Oryctolagus cuniculus: one gene and its partners. The protein of the gene in region 1 purifies or fractionates together with the protein of each later gene. This does not show direct contact. Links are inferred from orthologs where the notes say so. Each region holds a gene or a part of one and is shown in the gene's direction. Other genes may lie near its edges. The genes, in order: BAG2, CEP170, HSF2, HSF1, SGTA, TBL1XR1 and IRF2BP2.

Region 1 (3,971 bases):
TGGAGCTGAGGGAAGAATCTTGGACATACTGTGAAGGTAGCATTCATGTGATTACTGATGGACTGGATCTAGGACATGAGAGAAAGTCCAAGGTGAATCTAAAGTCTCTTGAGAGACATCAAGCCATTCACAAAATGTGTTGGGATATCGAGTTTAATGTTTGGCAAAAATATGTTTAATGAGATCGGTCAAATAACACCCTATACCAAAAGCTTACTAGTATTTAGAATGAGTACAGATGGAATTGGGATCCAGGCTTAAGAGTTCCCTCTCTGCTAAAGTATTTAAGTGGTGATGGTCACTGATGAAAGGTTGTGATTCAGCTTCAAAGCTGTTATTACCATTTCCATGCCTTCAGTTTTCATACTTGCAATACGAACATTCTTGTAACGTGAGCTATCCTGAGAGCGGAGCAAAGCACAATATTTTAAATACAGCGGCCCTGCTCCATCTTTTACTGATATTTACTGGATTTTTGTTGTTGTCGTTAACAGATTTAATACGTTGGGTGTGAAGTGACCATTACCAACTATTTAAAATACCAGAAAAAATTTTTGTAGGCATAAAAGTGAAATTCCCTTTCTTGGAATGTGTGGGAATTAAATTCACTTTGCTTCGCATCTGGAGCTAGACAGGCAAAGACGGGATAGCTGCTTCATTCTTTCTCAGTAGCGTCAGTGTGGTCCAGGCTGTTATTCTCAGAAAAGTGACTTGGTCAAGTACAGACTGCCGAGGAGGCGGTGTCCTTCTATGTCTTCTGCTTTGCAAAGGGACCTTTTCTCCCTGTCGGCAGAAACCTGAATGTTTTTTCGTTCTTGCTTTGAATTCTGGGTGCTGAAAGGAAGTAAACGAAACCATCGGTGAGCCATGCACCCACAGCCTGCCCACCGTGTGGTATGGTAACTCCGCATAGGGGGAGTTGGCTACTTTTATGCTGCACCAAGAGTCGGGGCTTGGGTGTTCGCTGGGTCTCCGCGCCGATTTCGGGTTGTTCCAGGAGCAGAGAGCAGCCGACTACGTTAGGTGCTCCCCTTTTTGGGTCCTCCCATCCCAGAGTCTCGGAGGCCTTAGCTCCTGAGGCCCACCCTCGAGCTTTTGCGGCCAGCTAGCCCCCTCCAGGCCCCGCCACCCCCAGCCCGCGCGCGCCGCGCCTGCCCTTCTTTGGCCACGCAGCCGCGGCGGAGTCGGCGCGTCCTCGCGAGCCGCCCCCGCGGGCGTCAGAGAGAGGCGGGCGCCCCGCGCGGTGACGGCGACGCCTGCGGCCCGGGAGCGCTCCACTCGCCACCGCGGGAGAGGCCGGTGACCTCTCGGCCGCCCCGCCTCAGAGGCTCAGATGGCTCAGGCGAAGATTAACGCCAAAGCCAACGAGGGGCGCTTCTGCCGCTCCTCCTCCATGGCCGACCGCTCCAGCCGCCTGCTGGAGAGTCTGGACCAGCTCGAGCTCAGGTGAGCGGCCGGCGGGCCGGCGAGGGGCACGCGGCGGGCTCGGGCGTCCTGCTCGCCGCGTGGGCGGCCGGCGGGCGGAGGCCCCGCCTGGGGCAAGCGGCGGCGAGAGAAGTTGCTTGTTGGGGTGGTGTGGATGGAGGCGGTGCGGTTTTGTGTCCTGGCAGGTTTTCCTCTCCTCGCTGAGAGAAAACGCGTTCCGTCCCAGCTAACCTGTGAGCACGTTATTGATGGACACGTGAACACACCTGTGTGTTTTAGCGAATACCCAGAGAAGATAAAAGTTAGGGTGATGGTAATGGAGATTATTTCCAGAACCTTCTCTGGGGTCCCAAAGATCTTTAAGCCCCCCCCCCCCAAGGTTGCGAGTTAAGGGAAAAAGATTAAAGTGTTCTCCCCACCCCACCCCACCCCCCGTGAAGTTTTCTTGTTCCAAAGCACTTCAGAGCAGAAAGGGGGGGGACCCCAGGAATGCATCTAAGAGCAAAAATTGTAGAGCAGTAGGCCAAGGGAGGGGCTGTAGGAGGAACAGTAACTGGGTCCTGTACCTCGTGGATTAAAGACATTATGGCTGCCTTTGCTCTCCTAAGCCCACATACTGTGTTCCAGTATTTATTTTCTTAATATTTATTACCTTACATAAAAGATGCTGCTGAGACCTTAAAAGTGCTAGTCACTGGCCCGAAAGCATGAAAAGATAGTCAACAGTTTTTCCTTTTTCCCTTGATGACAGTTTTAAGTAAGTAAGATAGTGATAGGCTTGTATAGAATGTCTAAGTAGTAATAAGTTTTGGAAATGGCTTTTTCCTTTAACAGTGTATAAAAACGTATATGTACTATCTATGAACATTTGTGTCTGAAGTTAGTGTCTGCGTTGTGGTTGTGTGCAGGTATAGTTAGGTGAAAATCTTGAGACACGCATAGCCCCCTGACACTGTACATAGGATTTGGTTCAGTAGTTTCTGCCAAGCTCTGAAGGCGCAAAGGAGTGTGGAAGCCCCAAAGTGTAAACAGTGCTGTATTGTGTGTCCTTCTCTCCCTCCATTAATATAGCAAAACATGAAGAAGTGTCTGTTTGCCCAGAAAAGATACCAGTAACCACAGTGTCTGCTAGTAAAAAAAGATTCGCTATTACTACTGGGAGGAAATCGCCAGAAAGTGTGAAATTCTCCACTCACAATTCCAGGGATGGCAACAGAGCCACCTGGGCCCTAAGCCAGGTACTGGGGTTCACTTAGGGTGCGACAAGTTGAAGAGAGAAGCAATGCTTCCTTATGGATTGCCACAGAATCAGCAAACCTGGGTTCAACACCCAGAGAAAGTGGAGTGAAACTACAGTGGCCTCAGCTACTCCAAGCCCCTCTAAGGAATGGGATTTCTTTTGTGTAGCAGCTTAGTAAGTACCTTAGACTTCTCTCCAGGCGTTCTCTACTAGCCTCTCTCCCCCAGTCAGAGAGAACAGGTTTTCTCTTATAGGAATGAGGAGCATGTTCCCCCTCCTTCCTTCCTTCCTTCCTTCCAATGACAAGCTGAGTCATTGTCCTCACATGTGGTAGGCACAAAAGCAGTCAAGTGCTCCTCTTCTAAAACAAGGCCTCTGATTTGGGGTATTACTGTATTTCTGATATTTGGTGAATGTCAAATGAATTCTGATTACTGCACATAAGTGATTAAATTACAAGTTGCTTAATTACCACTTGGGCTGAAGGAGGAAAGTCTGATTAATATGTGTGTTAATTGTTCATTTCAAGGGCTTCTCGAATAATTCTAGAGTTTTGTTTCTTCCTTTTAAAAAGAGTAATACTGAAAACTAAACAAGTGTTTCAGAAGGTTCGCAAAAATAGAGAAAAATGCTACTGCTGATCCTAACTGAAGTTTGGATGATACCATGCAGGCAATGTGCAGAGCATTGTACCAGTGAAAACTAGAATCGTGCCTAGAGGGAGGTCGAGTTTTCAAACATGAAATTCATATATAATTTATTCTCATCGTTTGAGGTCATATTAAGTAACACTAATAAAGTAGTTATGTTAGTAGAGTGAGGCATTTTAGCTTGTACTTAGAAGTATGCATGTACTGTTCTCTAATGCTAGTTTGATGTTTGGGAAGGAAACTTCTTCCCTCTGAAACCAAAAACAGGATTATACCCAGTGCTTGATGACCTGGAATATTTGGCCTTCCTGATGCTTAAAATGCTGTAAAATGTTTGGCAGTCTTCTTCAGTTTGTTTCTGATACTTGATTGTTACACAAGCCTTGCTTTTTTGACTGCATTTTGTCTCCAGATTGCGTCCCCAAAGAGGCAGTTCCTTTCTCTCCTGGTTTTCATGATTTCTGAATGGAATATAATTTTACATTTGTCAATAGCTCAAGCTACTCTGCTAATTATCTTTTTAGACATTTATCATTTATAAATAATACAGCTTACATGTCAGGCTCCATATCTGTGTGGAAATTACTGTAATCTGCACTCTACAGATGAGAAACTGAGGCTTAGAAACTAAAGACTCATCCAAGGTCATACCACCA
Region 2 (3,500 bases), on another chromosome or scaffold:
TATTTTTCCTTGTATAGCTTTGAAAAGATACATTGTATTTGGTGTTATCATTAACAGAAATACAGTAAATTTTAAAATATGAAAATAAAGTGTTTATTTTTTGCAAATTCTAGAATATTATTTAAAGACAAAGATCGGAATTGGGATGAAATAGAAAGCAAGTTAAGAGCTGAAAGTGAAGTTCCTATTGTGAAAACCTCAAGCATGGTATGATAATTTTCTTGAAGATTAAACCATTTTAATAGAGTTTTATATTAATGGAAAGATAGCATACTTATTTTTAAGCTATTTATTGATTTACTTGTAAAAGAATATGTAGATACACAGATTTCCTTCAGCTGATCTCACAAGAGTCCCAAATGTTGACTGTTTCCAAGTTGCTAGGGGCATGGAGAGGGGATTTTTATATTTCTCACTATTACATATTCTTGTTCTTGTAATAACTGTACCTTAAAAATATTCAGTTTTGAAATAAGAACTGAACTTAAATATCAAGTTTACATGAATTGTTTCCATTTACTTACTATAGTGCTTGCCTTCTTTTTAAAGAATTTGTACAGATTTTCAATGCTCAGAATGTAGTCCTAGTATTAAGATTGCAGTTCATATATTTTTACAAAGAAAACCTTTAAGTACTGTGTCAGAGTTACTGCAATGTTGATCAATACAAATATTTCAGAATCTTTCTTTATATAGTACAGGTTAGATATCCCTTATCTGAAATGCTTGATACCAGCAGCATTTCATATTTCAGCATTTTTGGATTTTGGGATACTGCATAGACTTTACCAGAATTTCCAGTCATTTCATATTTCCAGTATTTGGACCAGAGATACTCAGCCTGCAGTAAATTATCTTGAACTCTTCATCTGCTATCATTACCTCATTGAAAAAAGTTACTCATTTCATTATTAAAGATTTTTAAAATTTGTCTTATTTACTGGATGTCATCATTTCATACCATGCTGCTACTAAAGTAGTAAATCAAATAGAAAATGTTAAATGCTCCAAATAAAATGAGAGTGAGATTCATTACTTGTCAAATCAAAATGTTTTAATTAAAGTAAGCTAATTTTTGTTATTGCTTTCCCTGCAGGAGATTTCTTCTATTTTACAGGAGCTGAAAAGAGTTGAAAAGCAGCTACAAGGTAAATTTACTACTGAATTGAGTAGAGAGCTGTCATTTTAGGATAAGTGCATTCTAATGGCGTTCTCTTAAAATATTCATTTTATTTGATTAAATATAATGTCATGTAATAAGTATGGAGTTCTACATATCCAGATCACTTATTTTTTAAAGATTTACTTATATATTTGAAAGACAGTCACAGAGGGGTGGAGAGATTGAGAGAGAGGTCTTCCCTCTGCTGGGTCACTCCCCAAATGGCTGCAACGGCTGAAGCTGCGCCAATCCAAAGCCAGGAGCCAGGAGCTTCCTCCGGGTCTCCCACATGGGTGCAATGGCTAGGACTGGGCCAGGCTGAAGCCAAGAGCCAGGAAGTTCATCTGGGTCTCACGTGGGATGCAGGGGCCTGAGTACTTGGGGCATCTTCTGCTACTTTCCAAGGTGCATTAGGGAGCTGGATCAGAAGTTGAGCAGCTGGGACTCAAATCTGGCTCTCATATGGGATGCTGGCATCACAGGCAGTGGCTTAACTTGTTGTGCCACAACTCCAGCCTCTCAGATTACTCTTGAAAAGGAAATTGTACAAACCTAATATAAAAAATTAAAGTTAAATCTTGGGCATATTTTAGAGTGTAGATTTGACAATAGGCTAAGTGTTACAAACTAATTACATTATTATATATATTATATAAATATATAAAATAATGATGTGTATATATATATATATACAGCTTAAATGACTTGCTAATTAGCATTATTTATTTGATTTGATAATTCTTAATTTATATTGGTAGTATAACCTCAAATAAACTTATATTCTAATACAAATAATAGTTGCTTCAATGGACCATAAAAAAGAAGTGCATGATAGCTTTAAAGACCAAAAGAAGGGGAGAAGAAAGTGAAACAGACTCTGTTTGCCTCCTAAATTTTGACAGACTTTGTTTTAATTCTTTGAAAATCCAAATCATGCATTAATGTCTGTGTGTCTCTTGACCCAGAACATCCCCAGTGGCAAACAAGCAGGACTGAGTCAACTGTTAATTCCTCCCAGTATTTATTTGTTGAATAATTGTAGGCATAATATGTAGATCCCACCTCAGTGATTCCTAACCTTTATTCAACCCTACACACCCAAGGGTTATGCCATAAGTAAAAGTGGCTTGCTAACACAGTCTATGAGCTGATAGAATGGGGGTATACTTTTAAAAGGAACCCCTAAATGATTCTTGGAACTATAGTGCCTCCTTCTCCCAACTTCCTGTTCTGTCCAGTATCAAGGTGAAAATCACAGAGAACTTTCCTTGTCCACATAAAGAACTTTTGTATTAAAAACTGGTCTTTAACTGGCTCCTTCCGTGGACATAGCAAGGTCTCTTTGGCCTGCTGGGGCTGCCCTGGGATATTGGTTATGCATGGACCATTATAGGTCAGTGGTACACGATACAGTTGATATCCTAGCACTCCAACAGGATCTATGACAACATGCTATGCTAAAAATAAAAGTATGTTATGTTCTTCTGACCTCACCAGCCTTGAGGATATTCTGAACCTTAGCTGTAAACCCACAATTCTCTGATAAATAGGGCTAGGGGTGTTTATTAAAAATTAACTAACATTTTATTATCTTCTCACAATAATGAAAACAAATTTCAAAAAGATATCTACTGAATTCCACATCTCCAAATACCAGTCTTACTCTCTAGAATGTCCATAAGTGACTCATCAGAGAAAGTATTCGGGATTGTTTAATCTACAATATAGATCGATATTAAGAGTGAGGTTTAAGTACAATGTTGTTGGAAGGATTTGCCTCATTTAAAATCACACAAACACACTGATAGTTAAACTGTCCAAACTAACTAATGTTCATATTCAAATTTAGCTGCATTTACAGTTATGTCCTATTCCTTTTACATTTTAATTATACCTCTGCTCCTTTTCCTTTCCTTCAGCAATCAATGCTATGATTGACCCAGATGGAACTTTGGAGGCTCTGAACAACATGGGATTTCCCAGTGCTATCTTGCCATCTCCACCAAAACAGAAATCTAGTCCTGTGAATAACCACGGCAGCCCTGGTCAGACACCAACACTTTGCCAGCCAGAAGCAAGGGTTCTTCATCCTGCTGCTATTTCAGCCTCAGCTGAATTTGAAAATGCCGAATCTGAGGCTGATTTCAGTATACATTTCAACAGATTCAACCCTGAAGGGGAAGAGGAAGATGTTACAGTTCAGGAATGACTTTCTCTTGATTGTTAACAAAAAAAAAAAAAAAAAAAAAATTACCTGTGGATTAACTAGGAATATTGGAGGCAGCATAGTGTTGACTTACACAAAACAAGACAGCTTGGTCAAACTACAATTTTGTTA
Region 3 (4,065 bases), about 65 Mb from region 1:
GAAGATTGAATGATATAAGTTTACATACATTAGTTGCTGTATCACATATATCCCTCTATCTTCAGCAAAAAGCCTAATGCTGAACATAATGGCTCTATTCAATAAATATTTTCACATTAGAATTTCTGTATATTCTATTTATTAAAGTATTATTTTACATAGATCCAGGAAATAAACCAATCCTAGGCTGAATTTTGCATAAAACTGTCATTTCCAGCTTGTGTACATATTTTTATTTTAGTATTTTTATTTACTATGCATGCAAATGTCCATGGTCTGCACTAAGATCTACTCACTCGTTGTCTAATATTTCCCCACTATAGCAATCTATCTAAGCAAATAAGACTACATTTGTAAAGTACATCCAAGAAAAATTTTTTTTGCAGAAACGCTTTTAGTCCAGAAGTTAAGATGCCGGTGTTCCACATTAGAGTTCCTGGATTCTAAACCCAGCTACGGCCCCTGATTCCAGTTTCCTGCTAATGCAGATACTGGGAGACAGCAATGAGAGCTCAAGTAATTGAGTGCTTGCCACCAACAGAAGACCTACCGAGTTCGAGCTACGGCTTTTCTGTCCTGGCCAATGCAGGCATTTGGGAGTGAACCAGAGGACTGAAGCCCTCTCTTTCTGCCTCTCATTATTAAAGAATCTCAAAACGAACAGTTATTTAATTAAAATAGTATAAATAGGAATAATTCTTTTTATGCTGGGCATATAGTAGGCACTTGCTGGGCGAATTAGCAACGTGATTACAGTTCCTGGCTTTAAAATAATACATATTCATTAATGAGTTATCTAAACTGTTCTTTTTGATGAAACAGGCTATTTTCGTTAAGTTTCATTTCAGGGCCTACCATATCACGCCTGAGGGCTGCTCTCTCCTTCCCCGCCCCACGAATTATTTCTTCCGCTACACTGGCGTAAACCACACCTTGTCTTCCAAACCTATGACTCAAAAGCCTCCAAAGACTTCTGTAGCCTCCAGCCACAACCTACCAAACCGAAGCTACCTCCACGTGAAACAACCAAACACTGCCTTCCGAGCCCTAACTCCGATACAGCGAAGGCTCCCGTATAAAAGGCGAATAAGAAGGCAGCGCCCCCTTTTGCTCCCACCCCTCCAAGACTCGGCACCCAATCACCTTTCAGTGTGGTGCGGCTGGCGTCTGGGATTGGCCAGGAACTGGACCAGCGCGCGCCCGGTGCGGCAGGCGGAGCACAGGGAGCCCTGTCCGTCACGTGCGGCCGCCCGGCTTCCCGGCTTCGCAGCGCGCCTGGCGGGGCTTGGGGGGGCGGGGCCCGACAGCTGCTGCGCCTGCGTTGTGGGCGTTCTCCGGGAGCAGCTGCCGTCGCCGCCGCCACCGTCGCCACCGTCGCCGCCGCCTTTGCTACCGCTGCGTTCGGGTGTAGAATTTGGAATCCCTGCACCTCGTTAACAATGAAGCAGAGTTCGAACGTGCCGGCTTTTCTCAGCAAGCTGTGGACGCTTGTGGAGGAAACCCACACTAACGAGTTCATCACCTGGAGCCAGGTAGGGTCGGGGCACGGCGGCCTCCGAACCCCTGAACTAACCGTCTCTCCCCTGTCGCTCTCTGCCGCGGGATTGTCTCTCGCGGCCTGCGGCTGGGTGCTCTCGGCCGGGCGCGCGGGTGGCGGTGTGACGCGGGGCCTTGGCGTTCGGCCTCGCCGGGGACCCCCTGTATTGTTCGCGCGGGGAGCCGCGGGGGCCGGGCCGGCGCCGCGCGTCTCAGGCCGCGGTGGGGGAGGGGCGGCGCGCGGGGCGGCGCGGCGCAGGCGGCCCCGTAACGGTCCGGCCCGGTCAGCGTTCGGAACCAGCCTGGCAGAGCCAGGCAGTCGACGAGCGGCGGGCGCGGAAGCCACGTTATTGCACACTCATCCTCCGCGCGGGGAACGAATCGGGAGGGGAGCGGGAGCCCCGGGCCGGTGTCGTCCACGCGGGGGTTTGTTGGAGGAAATCTTTACCCTGGTGACCCGATTCTACACACGGGCGCGCGCTGCACACACGCACTCAGCTTTGTATCTGGGATTTTTGATGAGGAGGGCAATCAGGGAAGTGGGCATGTGTTCAAACGCATGTTAGTTTATCCGTAGGTTTTTAAAAATATTACGTAGAAAATGACAGACTAGGCTTTGGAGATTGTGAGCCATTTATATAAATGGATTTTTATGATCATTGTGTTAAAAGTGCTAATAGACAGGTGTTCGGTAGCTTAGTAGCTAAAATGAATCACTGAATTTCACTAGTTACCAGCGAGTGGTATATAGATGCTCTGATTGCTGGTTTGATCCCAACTCTGCTTCTAAATAAAGGTGACCTTAGTTGAGCCCCTGATCTTGTCTTGCCTAAGTTTCATCGTCAAAACGTCCATAGGTTGCCTAGGTGACCTCAGGATTCCCTCCTACTTCCAATTACAAAGATTCTAAGAATGATTATATCTTATAATGCGTTTGCATTATGATACTTCTAGGCTGTTGGAATAATTTTTTTTTTTAAAGGGACTGGGTTCTTTTATTGTGGAGGAGTCCTTGGTGGTGGTGGTGGGGGTATTTTCATCTATGGAGTTCTTGAGAAGTGAAAACTACCTGCATAATGCTTGGCACCTGTTAAGTGCTGAGTAAATGTTATCTACCCTCCTCCCTTTGATTTCTCTCCTTTTCCTGTTACAAGGAACTTTCAGTTTTATGTCTTAACAGGGAGCACAATATTGAGTACATGAAGTTTTGATGGCTTTTAACACTGTATATTGTCATTTGTTCATTCTTTTTTAACTTTAAAGTCTTAATTTTCATGTGATCAGTGTTATCAAGTGGGTTATCTTTTTACTCAGACATAACCTCACCCCCCAGCTATGTGTGTATTGAGTTGATGAGTTCTGTACAGTTGATCAAAGAAAGGTGAAAATAAGGGAGCCAGCCACTAGCTTGTCCTTAAAATAAACAGATGTCTCATGCTTTTCATCACTCAGAAGGATTAAAACTTGACAAGGATGGATCGGCACAGACTTACTCAGCCACGTATTCATGTTAGAGATTGACTAAGAGTCTCTCCTCACTCCACTGACTTTATCAAACCTTTTTAGCCTGGATGGATCATCTTGTTTTTATTGACTAGAAATGGTCCTTAGATATATTGATAATTGGTTTTGATGTCAATGATAGATCCCATGAATTCTAGTAGCCAAAATATTTGATCAATAATCCTACTTTCTGGGCAGTATCAAGTACAGGGCATTTTATACCAATCTGCATTATTTTATGAATTGTAAGCCAAACAAGTTATTCCTTTCTCACCCCATTGTTAAGTCTAATCATATGTTTTAAACTACCCATTTTCTAATATGCCAACAGGACAATCAAAATGTAAAACTCAGGTCAGTATGCCAGAGATACAGATGTTTAATAAATGTTTAATGAATCAGTGAAATCCCTGGAAAATACAGTGGGGGTAGTAGGAATGATAAAAGTAAGATTGTTTTTGAAAAAAATGTTAGAGATCATCTAGTTTTAGTCTCATCCTTGTATAGATAAGGATTTGAGAGTTGGACAGGATAGGTTACTAGTCCTTAATTACTAGCCAAGATTGTATAAGGGACTCTGACATAGATTTCTCAGCTTCTAAGTCAGTCTCACACCTTAAGCATTAAACTTAACACAGCTTGGCACCATGTTTAGTTTTATACCAAGATGTTGCCCTCCACAAGTTGGAATAGTTCTGGGGCCAGGCCTAGGTGGTTATAGCAACTGTCTTGCTTTTGCTCTTCCACAGATTTTTCTGGAAGCAGTGCAAGGTAAAACTTTAATTAAACAAGGATGTTAGGTGGAAAAAGAATAAGTTACTCTCAGGTTTTAAAAGTTGCTATTTATGGTTGTTTCTGGTTTTCTTCAAACTTGTTGTGAACTTCTGTTGAGGTAATTTAGTATTATCTGAGTGAAAATCGTATTAAGACCTTTTAGAAGAAGCAGATGTTTTGGGAACCAGTTTTTTATGCATTTTTTTAACTGGTAGAAAATAATTTATTCCTCTAGCTTGAGTATAAAGCAAG
Region 4 (3,500 bases), on another chromosome or scaffold:
CCGGCACCGCGGCTCACTAGGCTAATCCTCCGCCTTGCAGCGCCGGCACACCAGGTTCTAGTCCCGGTCGGGGTTCCGGATTCTGTCCCGGTTGCCCCTCTTCCAGGCCAGCTCTCTGCTGTGGCCCGGGAGTGCAGTGGAGGATGGCCCAAGTGCTTGGGTCCTGCACCCCATGGGAGACCAGGATAAGTACCTGGCTCCTGCCTTCGGATCAGCACAGTGCGCCAGCTGCAGCGGCCATTGGGGGATGAACCAACAGCAAAGAAAGACCTTTCTCTCTGTCTCTTTCTCTCTCACTGTCCACTCTGCCTGTCAAAAAAATAAATAAATAAAAATAGATAAATAGAAACAACCATTCTTTTAAAAGAAGGAAGGAAGAAACAAGACTTGGGGAAGGATGAGTTCAAGGACCCATGCCATCTCCCCCGTTCCTGCTGGCTCAGAACTGCTGCGGCCCCTCTGCGTAGACTGCGATCCTGGCACCGCCTCGCCTCAGCCCTGCAGCCTCGTGCCCTCCCCACACCCGATGTCTGGGTTTTTTCCAGAATGCACTTTAAAAAAAAAAAAGTTTCCTTATTTTCATCTACTTGGAAGGTACAGCAGTAGAGAGAGAGAGCTTCTCTCCACCAGTTTACTGCCCAAATGCCCCCAACAGCCGGGGCTGAGCCAGACGAAGCCAGGAGCCCAGAGCTCCATCCGGGTCTCCCCCGTGAGTGGCAGCGCGCCCAGGTGCGTTAGGAAGCTGCGTGGAACTGGAGCTGGTGCCCGGAGGCGGGCTTCACCTCTCAGGTCCTGGGCCCAAGCCCACGTCAGCCTCCCGTCCCCGCCGTCTCCTGAGGCTCTGTCCAGCTCTGGGCCGGGTGGACAGCCCGGCTGGAGGAGGCAGCGGGCCCAGAGCCTCTCTCCTCGTGTCAGGCTCACGGCTGTGAGGGTTCTGTGAAGTAGTGCGATGGGTCACCGGATTCCAGGCATCGCTCTGAGTTAGAGCACAGAGCCCCAGGGACAGAGGGAAGGGGTGCAGTCACCCGCCGAGCAGAGGAGGGAGCTTCAGGCTGCCGCTGCTCCGTGACGTCCTCGGGCCCGAGTCTTGGGCAGGAGCCCTTCATCTGCAGGTCTGCAGGATGCCGTGGGGGGCCCCAGTGCACCCCCGCTGTGGCCGGAGACTGCGTCTGCACGCATGTGGATTCGCACCCTAGGTGAAGTGGGCCAGGTCCTCGCAAGCCAGCTGCCCAGCGCCCACGACGCTTAAACGGGTTAGGTCCCTGGTATGAGCCTCACGTCAAGGAAATCCTCAGCCCCAGCAGGCTCTGCTGGCAGATCCGCTCCCCAGGTGGCCCGGGCCAGAGCCAGGAGCCTGTCCCCCACTCTGCCAGGCAAGTCAGCAGGGCGCTGGGCCCTGCATGGAGCGGCCGGGACTTGGCCCCGCGCTTCTGTGGGTGCAGTGTCCCAGGTGGCAGCTTAGCCCGCTGCACCAAGCGCCAGCTCCTGCGTGGGGGACTTTCTGTTCTGCTTTTCTTTTTTTTAAGATTTATTTTTTATTTACTTGAGAGCCACAGAGAGAGAGAGAGAGGTCTTCCATCTGCTGGTTCACTCCTCAGATGGCCGCCACAGCCAGAGCTGCAAGCCAAGAGCTTCTTCCAGGTCTCCCGCATGGGTGCCGGGGCTCAAGGACTTGGGCCATCCTCTACTGCTTTCCCAGCTGGACCGGAGGTGGAGCAGCTGGGACCTGAGCCGACGCCCATACGGGATGCCGGCACTGCAGGCGGCGGCTCTACCCACCCCTTCTCGCTTGCTTGCTTGCTGGAAACTGGCTGTTGCTGGGCCTGATGGGGCGGCTCTGGAGATGAGACAGTGAGACATCCTCCCTGGAGTTGTGGTCGCTGATTCTGTGCAGCCCCGCGCTGCGTCCTGTGGCCCAGGCAGGGTCTGAGGAAGGGGCTTCGCCTCTCACAGCTCTGATCATCTGACCTCCTCGGCTCCCTTGTAGGAGAGGGCGTGGTCTCGGTGCTGGGGCCCGCCAGCCTCGGGCTTTCCTGGGAGCCTCTCCACACCTCCTTCCCTGCCTGCCTCCTCGGAGCCCGCAAGGTTTCCAGTGCACGCCCTGGGTACCTGCCCTGGCGTCCAGGCCCCCGTAGGTGTCTGGAGCCTCTCCTTGTCTCCTGCCTGCCTCCTCTGCTTGGTGCTCTGTCTCCCCCAGCAAGCTTTGTTGACAGCTGCCTCTGGGGGCAGGCGTGCGGCCTAGAGGCTCAGACACCTCCATCCCATGGCAGAGGCTCTGGCGCCTGACCCCAGCTTCCTGCTAGCGTGAACGGTGGGAGGCCACTGCCCACCTGGGAGACCTGGCTTGAGCTCCTGTCACCTGGTCTCCGCCAGCTCGCGGCAAGCATTTGGGGGTGAATCAGCAGATGGGACAGCTGTCTCTGCCTCTGTCGTCTGGATGCTGCCGTAGACCTGCCCTGGGGGAGCCCCTGTGCAATGGGACAGGCAGCAGAGACGCGCCCCAGCCCCACCTGCCATGCCCAGCTGCAGGGGTGGAGGGAGGCTCGCTGCTGTCGCTGGGGAAGAAGTGTCCCCTCCGCAAGTTGGATTCTGGGGGCGTCGGCCGCGGGGCTCTCCCTGCTGCTTCGGGTCCCTTCCTCCGTCTCTTGCACGCCCCTTGCCGTGTCGTTTTCCTTCTCTCTGGAGTTCAAAAGCAGCTCCAGTTCCTGTCCAGAACCACAGGCCCTTGGTTCTTCCCGGTCCCTGCCTGCTCCTGCTCCCCACTGTGTGGACTCTGCCCCGTCGGAGCCCCCACAGCTGCTCCCAGCACAGACGCTGTGCCAGACCTTCCTCCTGGTGCCTGGGCTGCGCTCAGGAGGACAGAGGGGCAGCGCACCCCGCCACCGTCTGTGCCAGGGGCTGGGGCTGCGTTCCCTCCCCTCCGACGGGAATCGGGCTTGCTCAGTGCCGGCCCCCAGCACGTGGGCCTGAAGGTGTGGCTCTTCTCATCCCAGGTGGGGCCTGGGTGAGGGCCCCGTTTCTGGCCACACGGCCCGGTGCCTCACATCATGGGGCATGTACAGTGCATATGTGTCTGCCGGTCCCCGGGAGACGGTTCCTCCTCCTGCCGTACCCCTCCCCCCGAGCCCCTCCATAGCCCCACCCCATGGGGTGGGAGGGCGCATCACAGAGCTGGCGGGGAAGGGCTGCAGCCATGCTGCCTGGCCCATGCTGCCACGTGTGACCACCCCGTGTCTCCTGCCAGAGCGGCAACAGCTTCCACGTGTTCGACCAGGGCCAGTTTGCCAAGGAGGTGCTGCCCAAGTACTTCAAGCACAGCAACATGGCCAGCTTCGTGCGGCAGCTCAACATGTGTGAGTGCCTGCCGGGCCCCGGCCAAAGGACGGACTCTGGGTTGACCAGTGCAGGATGTGAAGGCCAGCAGCCCGGGCTGGGGGGGAGGTCCCTTCCTGGGGGAAGGGTCCTTGTGGGAGGGGCCGGAGCCAGGAGCTGGGAGACCA
Region 5 (4,166 bases), on another chromosome or scaffold:
CCCCCGGCCAGGCCGTCCAGAGGGGCCCGGGATTCAACACCGCTGACCCCCGCCCAGGCCGTCCAGCGGGACCCGGGATTCAACTCGCCAACCCCCGCCCCGGCCAGGCCGTCCAGGGGGGCCCGGGATTGCACACCGCCGACCCCCGGCCAGGCCGTCCAGGGGGGCCCGGGATTGCACACCGCCGACCCCCGGCCAGGCCGTCCAGCGGGGCCCGGGATTAACACTGCTGACCCCCGCCCAGGCCGTCCAGCGGGGCCCGGGATTCAACACCGCCGACCCCCGGCCAGGCCGTCCAGAGGGCCCCGGGATTGCACACCGCCGACCCCCGGCCAGGCCGTCCAGCGGGGCCCGGGATTCAACACCGCCGACCCCCGGCCAGGCCGTCCAGGGGGGCCCGGGATTGCACACCGCCGACCCCCGGCCAGGCCGTCCAGGGGGGCCCGGGATTGAACACCGCCGACCCCCGCCCCGGCCAGGCCGTCCAGCGGGGCCCGGGATTGCACACCGCTGACCCCCGCCCCGGCCGACCAGCGGGGCCCGGGATTGCACACCGCTGACCCCCGGCCAGGCCGTCCAGCGGGGCCCGGGATTGCACACCGCTGACCCCCGCCCAGGCCGTCCAGCGGGGCCCGGGATTCAACACCGCTGACCCCCGGCCAGGCCGTCCAGCGGGGCCCGGGATTCAACACCGCTGACCCCCGGCCAGGCCGTCAAGCGGGGCCCGGGATTGCACACCGCCGACCCCCGGCCAGGCCAGGCCATCCAGCGGGGCCCGGGATTCAACACCGCTGACCCCCGGCCAGGCCGTCCAGCGGGGCCCGGGATTGCACACCGCCGACCCCCGGCCAGGCCGTCCAGCGGGGCCCGGGATTGCACACCGCTGACCCCCGGCCAGGCCGTCCAGCGGGGCCCGGGATTGCACACCGCTGACCCCCGGCCAGGCCGTCCAGCGGGGCCCGGGATTGCACACCGCTGACCCCCGGCCAGGCCGTCCAGCGGGGCCCGGGATTCAACACCGCTGACCCCCGGCCAGGCCGTCCAGCGGGGCCCGGGATTGAACGAACGAGTGAGTGGGTGGGCGAACGAGTGCAGGAGGACGCTGCGCGCCCCGCAGCGACTTCCAGGCGCGGGGTCCCTGAGGCCTCCGCGCGCGCCTGGCGCCCCGAGCCGGCAGCACCACGTGGTCAGCGCGGGGCGCCCGCCGGAGTCCTCCACCGTCCCAGCATGCTCCTCGCCACGCCCGCTCTAGCGAGCCAGTCAGGCGCGACTTCCGGCCCCCCTGAGGTCGCAGAGGTCAGTTGCCCTAACGACCAGCTGGTTCCCGCCTCTCAACTGCATCACTTCCGCCCGCGCCCGCCTCGATCACGGACGCGCCTGCGCAGAAGGAAGGCAACCCGAGGCCCTGCTCCTTCTGCGCGTGCGTCGTCCCCGGGGGGCGGGGCCGGCGGCGCCGCGGTGCGCAGGCGCAGCCGTCGGAGGGTCCGGGCTCGGTCGCTGGAGAGGTGAGTGGGGGGCCCCGCCGTCCTCCCGGTGGGCCTGGGGAGGGGTCCACGGCTCGGGTCTCACGGGGCCCCGGAGCCCGTAAGAGGAGGTGAGTCTGGGGTCGGGGTCTCCTCCACTCCCGCGGTCCTGCGAGCGGGCGGCGTCGGGCATGGCTTGGAGGGTCCTCGCCTGTCTCCGGGGATCCCGGCCCCAGCAACGTGGGCCCGCGGGCCGGCGGAGGCAGAGCGCCCCGCGCGGAGTGAGCGCCCGCGGCCGGGGAGCCGGCCCTCCAGTGGCCCGGGGACCCCGATTGCTGGACGTCCGGTCGGGGCTGGCGTCCCTCTGTGTGCGGCTGACCTTGGCCAGCCTCTTGGTGTTCAGGGCCGTGAAACCCGGCGTGGTCGCAGCCCCTGCCCGGGAGGCGGGCGAGAGCCGCGGGGCGCGGCGGGCAGCGGGCACCGTGGACGCCAGGCCGGGGGCGGGGGCGCGGCGGGCACCGGGAAGGCATGGCCGGGGGCGGGGCGGGCACCGTGGACACCGGGGCAGGGGCGGGGGCGCGGTGGACACCGGGCCGGGGGCGGGGCGGGCAGCAGGCACCGTGGACACCGGGGCAGGGGCGGGGCGGGCACCGTAGTCACCGGGGAGGCATGGCCGGGGGCGGGGCGGGCAGCAGACACCGTGGACACCGGGCCGGGGGCGGGGGCGCGGCGGGCAGCGGGGAGGCCGGGCCGGGGGCGCGGCGGGCAGGAGGCACCATGGACACCGGGGACACCGGGCCGGGGGCGCGGCGGGCAGGAGGCACCATGGACACCGGGGACACCGGGCCGGGGGCGCGGCGGGCAGCGGGCACCGTGGACACCGGGCCGGGGGCGGGGCGGGCAGCAGACACCGTGGACACCAGGCCGGGGGCGGGCGGGCAGCGGGCACCGTGGACACCAGGCCGGGGGCGGGCGGGCAGCGGGCACCGTGGACACCAGGCCGGGGGCGCGGCGGGCAGCGGGCACCGTGGACACCAGGCCGGGGGCGCGGCGGGCAGCGGGCACCGTGGACACCGGGGCGGGGGTGGGGCGGGCACCGGGGAGGCCGGGCCGGGGGCGCGGCGGGCAGCGGGCACCGTGGACACCAGGCCGGGGGCGCGGCGGGCACCGGGGAGGCCGGGCCGGGGGCGCGGCGGGCAGGAGGCACCGTGGACACCGGGCCGGGGGCGGGCGGGCAAGCCCACCGCCTCCCTCCGGCGCTGCGCTGCCCGGGCAGACCCTTCCCCCTCCGAGCTCTCTGAGCCCGGGGTCGCTTGGACGCTGCCGCCCGCGCCGTCGGAGGGGGAGCGCGCCTCGGCGGGTGCCCGGAGCGCGTGGGCGACGTCTCGTCCTGGTCCGATGTTGGGGTGGGGGGTTGTCCTGCGTCCCCCTGGGAGCTGGGGTGTCAGCCTGTCCCGGGGTCGTTTTGGGGGGGGCCATGCGTGGTGCCGGGGCAGGGGGTGCACCCCGTGTGCCGTCTTGCGGTGCCCAGGGCATAGCCTGGGGGTGGCCCCGAGCCTCCCTGGTGCTCAGGGTGTGTGCGGGTTTATGCGGAGGGGGAAGACGGGCCCATGGGAGTGGCGGCTCCGAGCCCGCCTGCCTGGGTTCGGGGCTCCGGGCCGTGTCCGTCTTTCTGTGTAATGGGGAGCCTGGTCGCCACCAGCCCGGAGGCTGAGCAGGCCCGGGAGCCACAGTTTTTGTGAACAGAATCCGCCCCCCCATGGCCACGCTCCTCCCTCGGGCACCCTCCGGCCGAGGCTGGAACCGCAGTGTCGTGACCTCTGGCCCAAGGATATGAGGGTTCCTGGGAGGGCGAGTGACCCCCGCGGGGACTGCTCTGCCCAGCCCGGGCCCCTGGGGAGCTGCAGCCGCACTCGTGCCCGGCCCGGCCCGAGTGGGGGAGGCAGGCAGGCGTGGGGGACCCAGGAGACCTCCCGGGAGCTCCCAGGTTTGGACGGAGCAGGTGCAGGGGTTCCGGCCCGTGGGACGGCGGGGGCGTCGCCAGAGCTCGGGGGGCTGCGGCTGGAGCGTGCGGACGCCCGGGTTTCTCTCCTGGGGACGCTGCGGGACTGGGTGGCGCCCGGAGCCCCCGGGAGGACCCCGCGTCTGCCCGCACTCCGCGCGGAGGCACCGCTGCCTCCCGGGAACACAGCGGGGCTCCCGCGGGGCGTGGCTACGCCTCCAGGGTGGCGGAGGGGCGGGGCCACGAGTCCACGGGGGTCCCCGCGCTCAGCACTGCAGGGGAGGGGGGCAGCGAGCGGCGGCTGCCGTGTCCGGGTTCTGGCGGCAGGATGGGGGGTAGAGTCAGCGGAAGGGGGCTCGGAGCAGCCCACGCGGGACCCGTCTCTGGGACCCGGCGGCCCACCCTGGCCTCTGCCTCCGCGCCCCAGCCCAGGCCTCGCGGTGGCCTTTGGAGGAGGCGTGGCCGCCACTGCGTGCCGTCCCCCCCACCCCGCTGCCCCCGGCCAGAGCCCACAGGCTGCCATTGTTCCGCGGGCACCGGGGGCGGCGCTGGCCGCCTGCTCGGCCAGCCTGGCGGGTGTGCACTGAGTCCCGGGTCCCGCCCTCCCCCGGATAGGGGTCCTCGGGCGGCGGGCGCGCCTCGCTGACCCTCGCTGACGGGCGGCCTCTCTTCTCTGGCCAGTGGCGCTCAGCTGGGGCTGG
Region 6 (3,500 bases), on another chromosome or scaffold:
ATGTCAGCACTGCAGTCGGTGGCTCTACCCACTACACCATAATGCCAGCCCCATCACTTTTAATCTTACCATTTTGCAAAGCAGCACCCAAGTTTTGGTGCTAGTAATTTATAGAGCAAACACTCAGGAACCCCAGTCTCCCAATTAAGTAGGTCAGTGTGTTTTCTGTTAGGGTGCATCTCATATAGAGATAACTAAATGGAAAGTAATGCTTATGATAGTTTGATAGTTTTATTTTAAAAATAAATATTTTTTCTTAGTATCTTAAAAAGTATCAAAATGTTAGGTACCACGTAGCATGCTTAATGTCTTAACTATGGTTCAAAGCTAAAGCTTCTGGACTTCAGTATATGTGGAATAAATGCAAACTTCAACTTTGTTCCTTTCCAGCACCAGCATTGGATGTTGATTGGCAGAGCAACAACACCTTTGCTTCATGTAGTACGGATATGTGCATTCATGTCTGTAAATTAGGACAAGACAGACCTATTAAAACATTCCAGGGACATACGGTAAGAAACCTTTTCCCTCCCTGTTACAGGGATTATGACAAGTGATATTTCAGAATAATTTTGACATGTTTCTGTTTAATATCTGCACAGTAACCCAATCTAGCAAATGAAAATGTGAATATTTATTTTTAGAATGAAGTAAATGCTATCAAATGGGACCCAACTGGCAATCTCCTGGCCTCCTGCTCTGATGACATGACTTTGAAGGTAATTAATGTTTAATGGGGATGCGATGGGAGTGTCACACAGTGTGCCTGCTTTGACTGTTTAGAATATTTCTTACATTGTATGTTTAAGCCTTGGTGAGAACTTTTCCTGCTCTCTAATGATTAATTATTGTTTTGCGTACTTTAATTTTCTTTTCTGGGATATATAGAATTACTTGAATATAGCAAATACATTGTATTAATAGTCATACAGTTATGATGGCATATTAATCAGCATTCTCCAGAGACATAGAACCCATAGAGGGGACAGACCAATCAATCCATCGTAAGAGATTTGTGAACAATTGGCTCACAAGGTTATGGTCGCTGATAATCACATGCATGTTCTGCTGTTTGCCAACTAAAGACTCAGAAAACTGCTGGTGAAACTCCAGGCAGGATCCATGGCCTAGGGGTCAGGAATACCAGTGGTTAAGTTCCAGTCCCTGGAAGCCCAGTATCCTAGCTCAGTGGTCAGGCTGCCGTTCTGGTTTGTTCCGGACCTCTCTGCATCTGATCATACCCAGCTACACTGGAGAGAGGGTAGTCTGCCTTACTTAGTCTAGTGATCAAAACCCAGTCTCATCCATAAACACCCTCACAAAACCACACAGAAATAATGTTTAGTTAAATCTCTGAGTTCTCTATGACTTTCTCAAGTTGACTTATAAAATTAACCCTCACAGGCAGTAAGAAATGTAACACTATGTATTGGTTCAATTAAAGTTTATTTTCACATGTGAAGATCTGACTGACAAATATTTAAGATCTTTGAAGCATTTGTGAATTTATCTGAAATTCTGTGAATTGTATCAATTTGCTTTTGTTGTGATGTGAATTTGTATCTCCCTGGCTGGGAAACTGATAGAAATGAGTTGGGAGTCTCTGAGTGACTGAGCAAGCCTACATGCCAGCAGCCACGTTTTAACCTGCATTTATTATTTTTTTCTTGTCTGACTGAAAGCAAAACTGTTGCTACCTTTCATCTAAGCACATTGTACCACAGTTAGGGAAAAAGAATTTTGAAGTAAAAAACCAGCCAACTACTAATCTCCAAAATAAATGAAGCCTGCAGTTCTCTTCTGTAACAGATAACTCTACTGAAAACAGTTTTATCTTTGACTTTGTGATACCAGACTGCAGATGTGATAACCTTTACAGATAAAATAATCTTGAGGGAAAACTGCTTTTCCTCCTACCATGAATGGACTGAATGTAACCTTGGGAACTCTCTGGATTTTTTTTACCCTAAGTACCTGCTGTTTGTTCAGTCAGATAGTTCTCAAGTGCTGGCTCCCTTAGGAGCATTGCTAGTAAAAAGGCTTTTCTTAATGCTTTTATTTTGGAGTTTTCCTTGTATGTACATATATTAGTACTTATAAAATGAAAAATTTGTAGAAAAGCATATGATATACAAGGAAATGGAAGCCGGTGCTCGTTGAGCCTTATGTCATGGATTGAGTTGCAGCTGCAGAGATAGATTGGAACTTGAAATTTTAAGAGAGCTTTTCTGCATCTTAAGAATAAATAAAGGTCACATAGGATTTTAAAACAAAAACTAGGTGGATGGGCAAGCTGTAAGAGGGCCATTTTCTGAGAACAGGGAATACCTAATTGAGTGAGAAGATCATATTGAATTTTAATAATGTCGGAGTAATGCAGATGGAGAGGCTTCATGGGTCTGATTCTCTCATTACAAAACACCTACCTAAGCTTCCAGAGACTGAGGAGTGACCAAAGTGGAAAAGAGAGAGAATGTGTAGAGAAAAGTACTTCACAGAGACACTGGATGGGAGTGGCCAACAGTATCAAATGCCATTGGAAGGAAGTCTAACGAAATTTGTTCTGGAAAAACATCTTTTGAGTTCATTTACATGGGGTTATAAATGCCTGAACTGCAAAAACACTATGATAGTACCCCATTATTTTTTGTTAGTTTTATTGTAGGAGTATGAAGTCCAGCTAACTTTTGTTTCCCTTCTGCTGTTGGAGTTGATGTGCTTGTGTTTGTCAAGACATCTTATGTGTTTCCCCCATTCCACCTTTCAAGTCTATATTGATACATCCAAAAATACTCTGGATGTAGGTTTCTATTAATTTTTGCTCATAATTAATGCAGATTTTTTAACCTGAACATAGCATTTTTCACCTCAGCAGAAGCTTATTCTCTACTACTTTAGCTCTATTGCATGTGTTTTCATCACTTGTTCTGTTCGAGTCATCACATTATTTTGTAAGCTGTTTACTTATTTTCACTTCATTACAGAAAGTAATTTCCGGCTAGTTAATTCTAAGAGCAATATATAATGTCTGTTATTTAAGGGACAGCATCAAAGCAGTCCCTTTAACATTTTGATGTTGAACTTTGCAACTTTTTAATCTACCAGAAGTAATCATGGAAAAAAACTATAATTCAGTCTTCAAACCTTACAATAGTGAATATTTTTGAAGGCGACAAAGATAATATCATTTATTCCAAAAATATTAAATATATTCTGTATTTAAATTACAAATATTCCCTTAATTTTGGTTCTATCACTCATATTTTGGGCTGGCAAGATAGTATATTTTGAATGTACTCATTATACTGAACCATAATTATATACATTTTCTTTTTTGTTTAGATATGGAGTATGAAGCAAGACAATTGTGTCCATGATTTGCAAGCACATAATAAAGAGATTTATACTATCAAATGGAGTCCAACTGGACCAGGGACGAATAATCCAAATGCCAACCTTATGTTAGCAAGGTGATACGATATTTCTGTTTTACTCTTCCT
Region 7 (2,281 bases), on another chromosome or scaffold:
ACTCCTCTTTGGCAGCCAGTGCCCCGCTGTGCTGTACCCTCTGCCACGAGCGGCTGGAGGACACCCACTTTGTGCAGTGCCCGTCCGTCCCTTCGCACAAGTTCTGCTTCCCTTGCTCCAGACAAAGCATCAAACAGCAGGGAGCTAGTGGAGAGGTCTATTGTCCCAGTGGGGAAAAATGCCCTCTTGTGGGCTCCAATGTCCCCTGGGCCTTTATGCAGGGGGAAATTGCAACCATCCTTGCTGGAGATGTGAAAGTGAAAAAAGAGAGAGACTCGTGACTTTTCGGTTTCAGAAAAACCCAATGATTATCCTTAACTAAAACTGCTTGAATTGTATATATATCTCCATATATATATATATCCAAGACAAGGGAAATGTAGACTTCATAAACATGGCTGTATAATTTTGATTTTTTTGAATACATTGTGTTTCTATATTTTTTTGACGACAAAAGGTATGTACTTATAAAGGCATTTTCTTCTTTTGTTAACGTTATTAGCATATCTTTGTGCTTTATTATCCTGGTGACAGTTACCGTTCTATGTAGGCTGTGACTTGCGCGCTGCTTTTTTAGAGCACTTGGCAAATCAGAAATGCTTCTAGCTGTATTTGTATGCACTTATTTTAAAAAGAAAAAAAAAAGCCAAATACATTTTCTGACATTGTAAGATTGCCTTACTGTCTGTTATTCCTTATTGCTGGCCCCCTTCTCAGGCCGGAGGCCAGTTGGTGGAGAAGGAAAGGAGATGAGTGATGAAAGGGGCACTGTTGGCAAGTGGGCATGCCACTGGAAACATCACCAGGTTACCCCAAAACGTCGTCCTCTCAGAGGAATAGGCAAATGGATTTTTAATCTCTCTGTTTTGTTCTTAAAGTTCAGTTCTTGGGATATCGATGACAGTCTGAGAGGTGTTGCTGAGAGATTTTTAGGATTGTGTGGCTTTTGGGGGTGAGGGGTAGTTTTTTTTTTTTTTTTTTTTTTTTTTTTTTTTTTTTTAAGGCAAAGTTGACCGCTGTTCACTGTCCACGTGATCAGTTGTAAGATTACAATGCTGCATGCTAGTTGGTTACATAATACACAGTTCCAGTGATGGGAGGCGGTTAGAATGGATGGTGGTGTGCACAAGATGGCACTGCCATCTTTGAGCAGAGCCTGGCTCTGCAGCGCCACTTCATCTCTAAACACCCTAGAGCTCTGTTTGTTGTTGCTGTTGTTTCCTTTGAAGGAGTCCTGAGAGAAGTTACAGTCCAGGTGAACTTGGAGATTGTGGGATTGGTTTTGTTTCTGTTTTGTGTTTTGTTTTGTTTTTTTATCATTTACCTGTAGTGCTATTGCTGTTGATACTATCACCTACACCCTGTTTCTAGTGAGTGCTAAATACAGTATGGTACAATGACAGTAACAGCCGCCGTGGTGCTGCCAGGACTGCCCGTGGGCATATCAGTGACAGCCCGAATGTGGGTGGAGGAAGCCTGTAATTTCCTTCTTACATGTATTTGAAATATCAACTGAATAATACTGTTCTGGGGGAAAAAGTGATAAACTAGTGAAAATGAAAGAAATTAAGGGTTTTTACATAATAGACAGGCCCCACCTCTCAAACTATTTTTAGAAGCCTTTTGTAAACTAATTTCTTTTGATCACTATTTTGCATCAGTAAAATGATTTTTTAAACCAATAAATCATCAGTTACTAGAAATAGTTGTCTCACAGTGATACTGGTTTTTCTTTTGTGCTGTTATGATTTAACATTGACAGGAACACTTAAATCCTTAGGTTCAGGTGTTTGTAACTTGGCCTTCTAATTAGGCTGGATCATGGTTTCTAGGTCTACTACAGTTTATGTGTATCATTCAGAGACTAACTTCTGTTTCAAGTTGAAAACAGGTTATTATTACAAACCTTGAGTTCTTTTTTAGTTACATGTTTATCTTTTTTTTTTAATTTGCTAAAATATTTTTTAATGGTCAAGTTACTAACACTTGCAAATCAGATACTGCACCAAATACAGTATTTTCTCGTAGTGTTTTTAATGAGTGCACCTATTGATGCCGTGCAAATTCATGTTACCGGTCATTGTTATATTAACAGACAGACTTGCATGAGTAGCCAGTTTGTTGTTACACCTTCTGTTTTTAAAATTGGAGTATATATGATTCAGATCAGACTGGTCTCTTTTATGTGAATACACACATGCAAAAACACAGAGTCAGTTTTACATACCCGTAAAGACATTTGTAAAGAATTCAACTGTCATGGTCTGTTGTGTAAGTGTGT

Evidence for each region.
Region 2: the proteins of BAG2 (region 1) and CEP170 purify together in Homo sapiens (affinity purification with mass spectrometry; 3 studies listed by BioGRID and IntAct, with this or other methods). This does not show direct contact. The link is inferred for Oryctolagus cuniculus from reciprocal best matches to the Homo sapiens genes BAG2 and CEP170.
Region 3: the proteins of BAG2 (region 1) and HSF2 purify together in Homo sapiens (affinity purification with mass spectrometry; 4 studies listed by BioGRID and IntAct, with this or other methods). This does not show direct contact. The link is inferred for Oryctolagus cuniculus from reciprocal best matches to the Homo sapiens genes BAG2 and HSF2.
Region 4: the proteins of BAG2 (region 1) and HSF1 purify together in Homo sapiens (affinity purification with mass spectrometry; 3 studies listed by BioGRID and IntAct, with this or other methods). This does not show direct contact. The link is inferred for Oryctolagus cuniculus from reciprocal best matches to the Homo sapiens genes BAG2 and HSF1.
Region 5: the proteins of BAG2 (region 1) and SGTA purify together in Homo sapiens (affinity purification with mass spectrometry; 3 studies listed by BioGRID and IntAct, with this or other methods). This does not show direct contact. The link is inferred for Oryctolagus cuniculus from reciprocal best matches to the Homo sapiens genes BAG2 and SGTA.
Region 6: the proteins of BAG2 (region 1) and TBL1XR1 purify together in Homo sapiens (affinity purification with mass spectrometry; 3 studies listed by BioGRID and IntAct, with this or other methods). This does not show direct contact. The link is inferred for Oryctolagus cuniculus from reciprocal best matches to the Homo sapiens genes BAG2 and TBL1XR1.
Region 7: the proteins of BAG2 (region 1) and IRF2BP2 purify together in Homo sapiens (affinity purification with mass spectrometry; 3 studies listed by BioGRID and IntAct, with this or other methods). This does not show direct contact. The link is inferred for Oryctolagus cuniculus from reciprocal best matches to the Homo sapiens genes BAG2 and IRF2BP2.

What each region holds. Positions count from the first base shown.
Region 1 is NC_091436.1:112,404,903-112,408,873, reverse strand, and holds the start of BAG2 (BAG family molecular chaperone regulator 2), read left to right. Parts: upstream 1-1,171; 5' UTR 1,172-1,333; coding exon 1,334-1,446; intron 1,447-3,971. UniProt on the Homo sapiens protein: Co-chaperone for HSP70 and HSC70 chaperone proteins. Acts as a nucleotide-exchange factor (NEF) promoting the release of ADP from the HSP70 and HSC70 proteins thereby triggering client/substrate protein release.
Region 2 is NC_091444.1:63,134,528-63,138,027, reverse strand, and holds part of CEP170 (centrosomal protein of 170 kDa), read left to right. Parts: intron 1-113; coding exon 114-207; intron 208-1,096; coding exon 1,097-1,148; intron 1,149-3,081; coding exon 3,082-3,371; 3' UTR 3,372-3,500.
Region 3 is NC_091436.1:47,729,752-47,733,816, reverse strand, and holds the start of HSF2 (heat shock factor protein 2), read left to right. Parts: upstream 1-1,265; 5' UTR 1,266-1,439; coding exon 1,440-1,532; intron 1,533-4,065. UniProt on the Homo sapiens protein: DNA-binding protein that specifically binds heat shock promoter elements (HSE) and activates transcription. In higher eukaryotes, HSF is unable to bind to the HSE unless the cells are heat shocked.
Region 4 is NC_091437.1:168,064,930-168,068,429, forward strand, and holds part of HSF1 (heat shock factor protein 1), read left to right. Parts: intron 1-3,244; coding exon 3,245-3,353; intron 3,354-3,500. UniProt on the Homo sapiens protein: Functions as a stress-inducible and DNA-binding transcription factor that plays a central role in the transcriptional activation of the heat shock response (HSR), leading to the expression of a large class of molecular chaperones, heat shock proteins (HSPs), that protect cells from cellular insult damage.
Region 5 is NC_091447.1:59,207,068-59,211,233, reverse strand, and holds the start of SGTA (small glutamine-rich tetratricopeptide repeat-containing protein alpha), read left to right. Parts: upstream 1-1,366; 5' UTR 1,367-1,505; intron 1,506-1,572; exon of another isoform or gene 1,573-1,594; intron 1,595-4,166. UniProt on the Homo sapiens protein: Co-chaperone that binds misfolded and hydrophobic patches-containing client proteins in the cytosol. Mediates their targeting to the endoplasmic reticulum but also regulates their sorting to the proteasome when targeting fails.
Region 6 is NC_091435.1:102,883,226-102,886,725, forward strand, and holds part of TBL1XR1 (F-box-like/WD repeat-containing protein TBL1XR1), read left to right. Parts: intron 1-390; coding exon 391-512; intron 513-644; coding exon 645-719; intron 720-3,342; coding exon 3,343-3,470; intron 3,471-3,500. UniProt on the Homo sapiens protein: F-box-like protein involved in the recruitment of the ubiquitin/19S proteasome complex to nuclear receptor-regulated transcription units. Plays an essential role in transcription activation mediated by nuclear receptors.
Region 7 is NC_091444.1:53,903,439-53,905,719, reverse strand, and holds part of IRF2BP2 (interferon regulatory factor 2-binding protein 2), read left to right. Parts: coding exon 1-281; 3' UTR 282-2,281. UniProt on the Homo sapiens protein: Acts as a transcriptional corepressor in a IRF2-dependent manner; this repression is not mediated by histone deacetylase activities. Represses the NFAT1-dependent transactivation of NFAT-responsive promoters.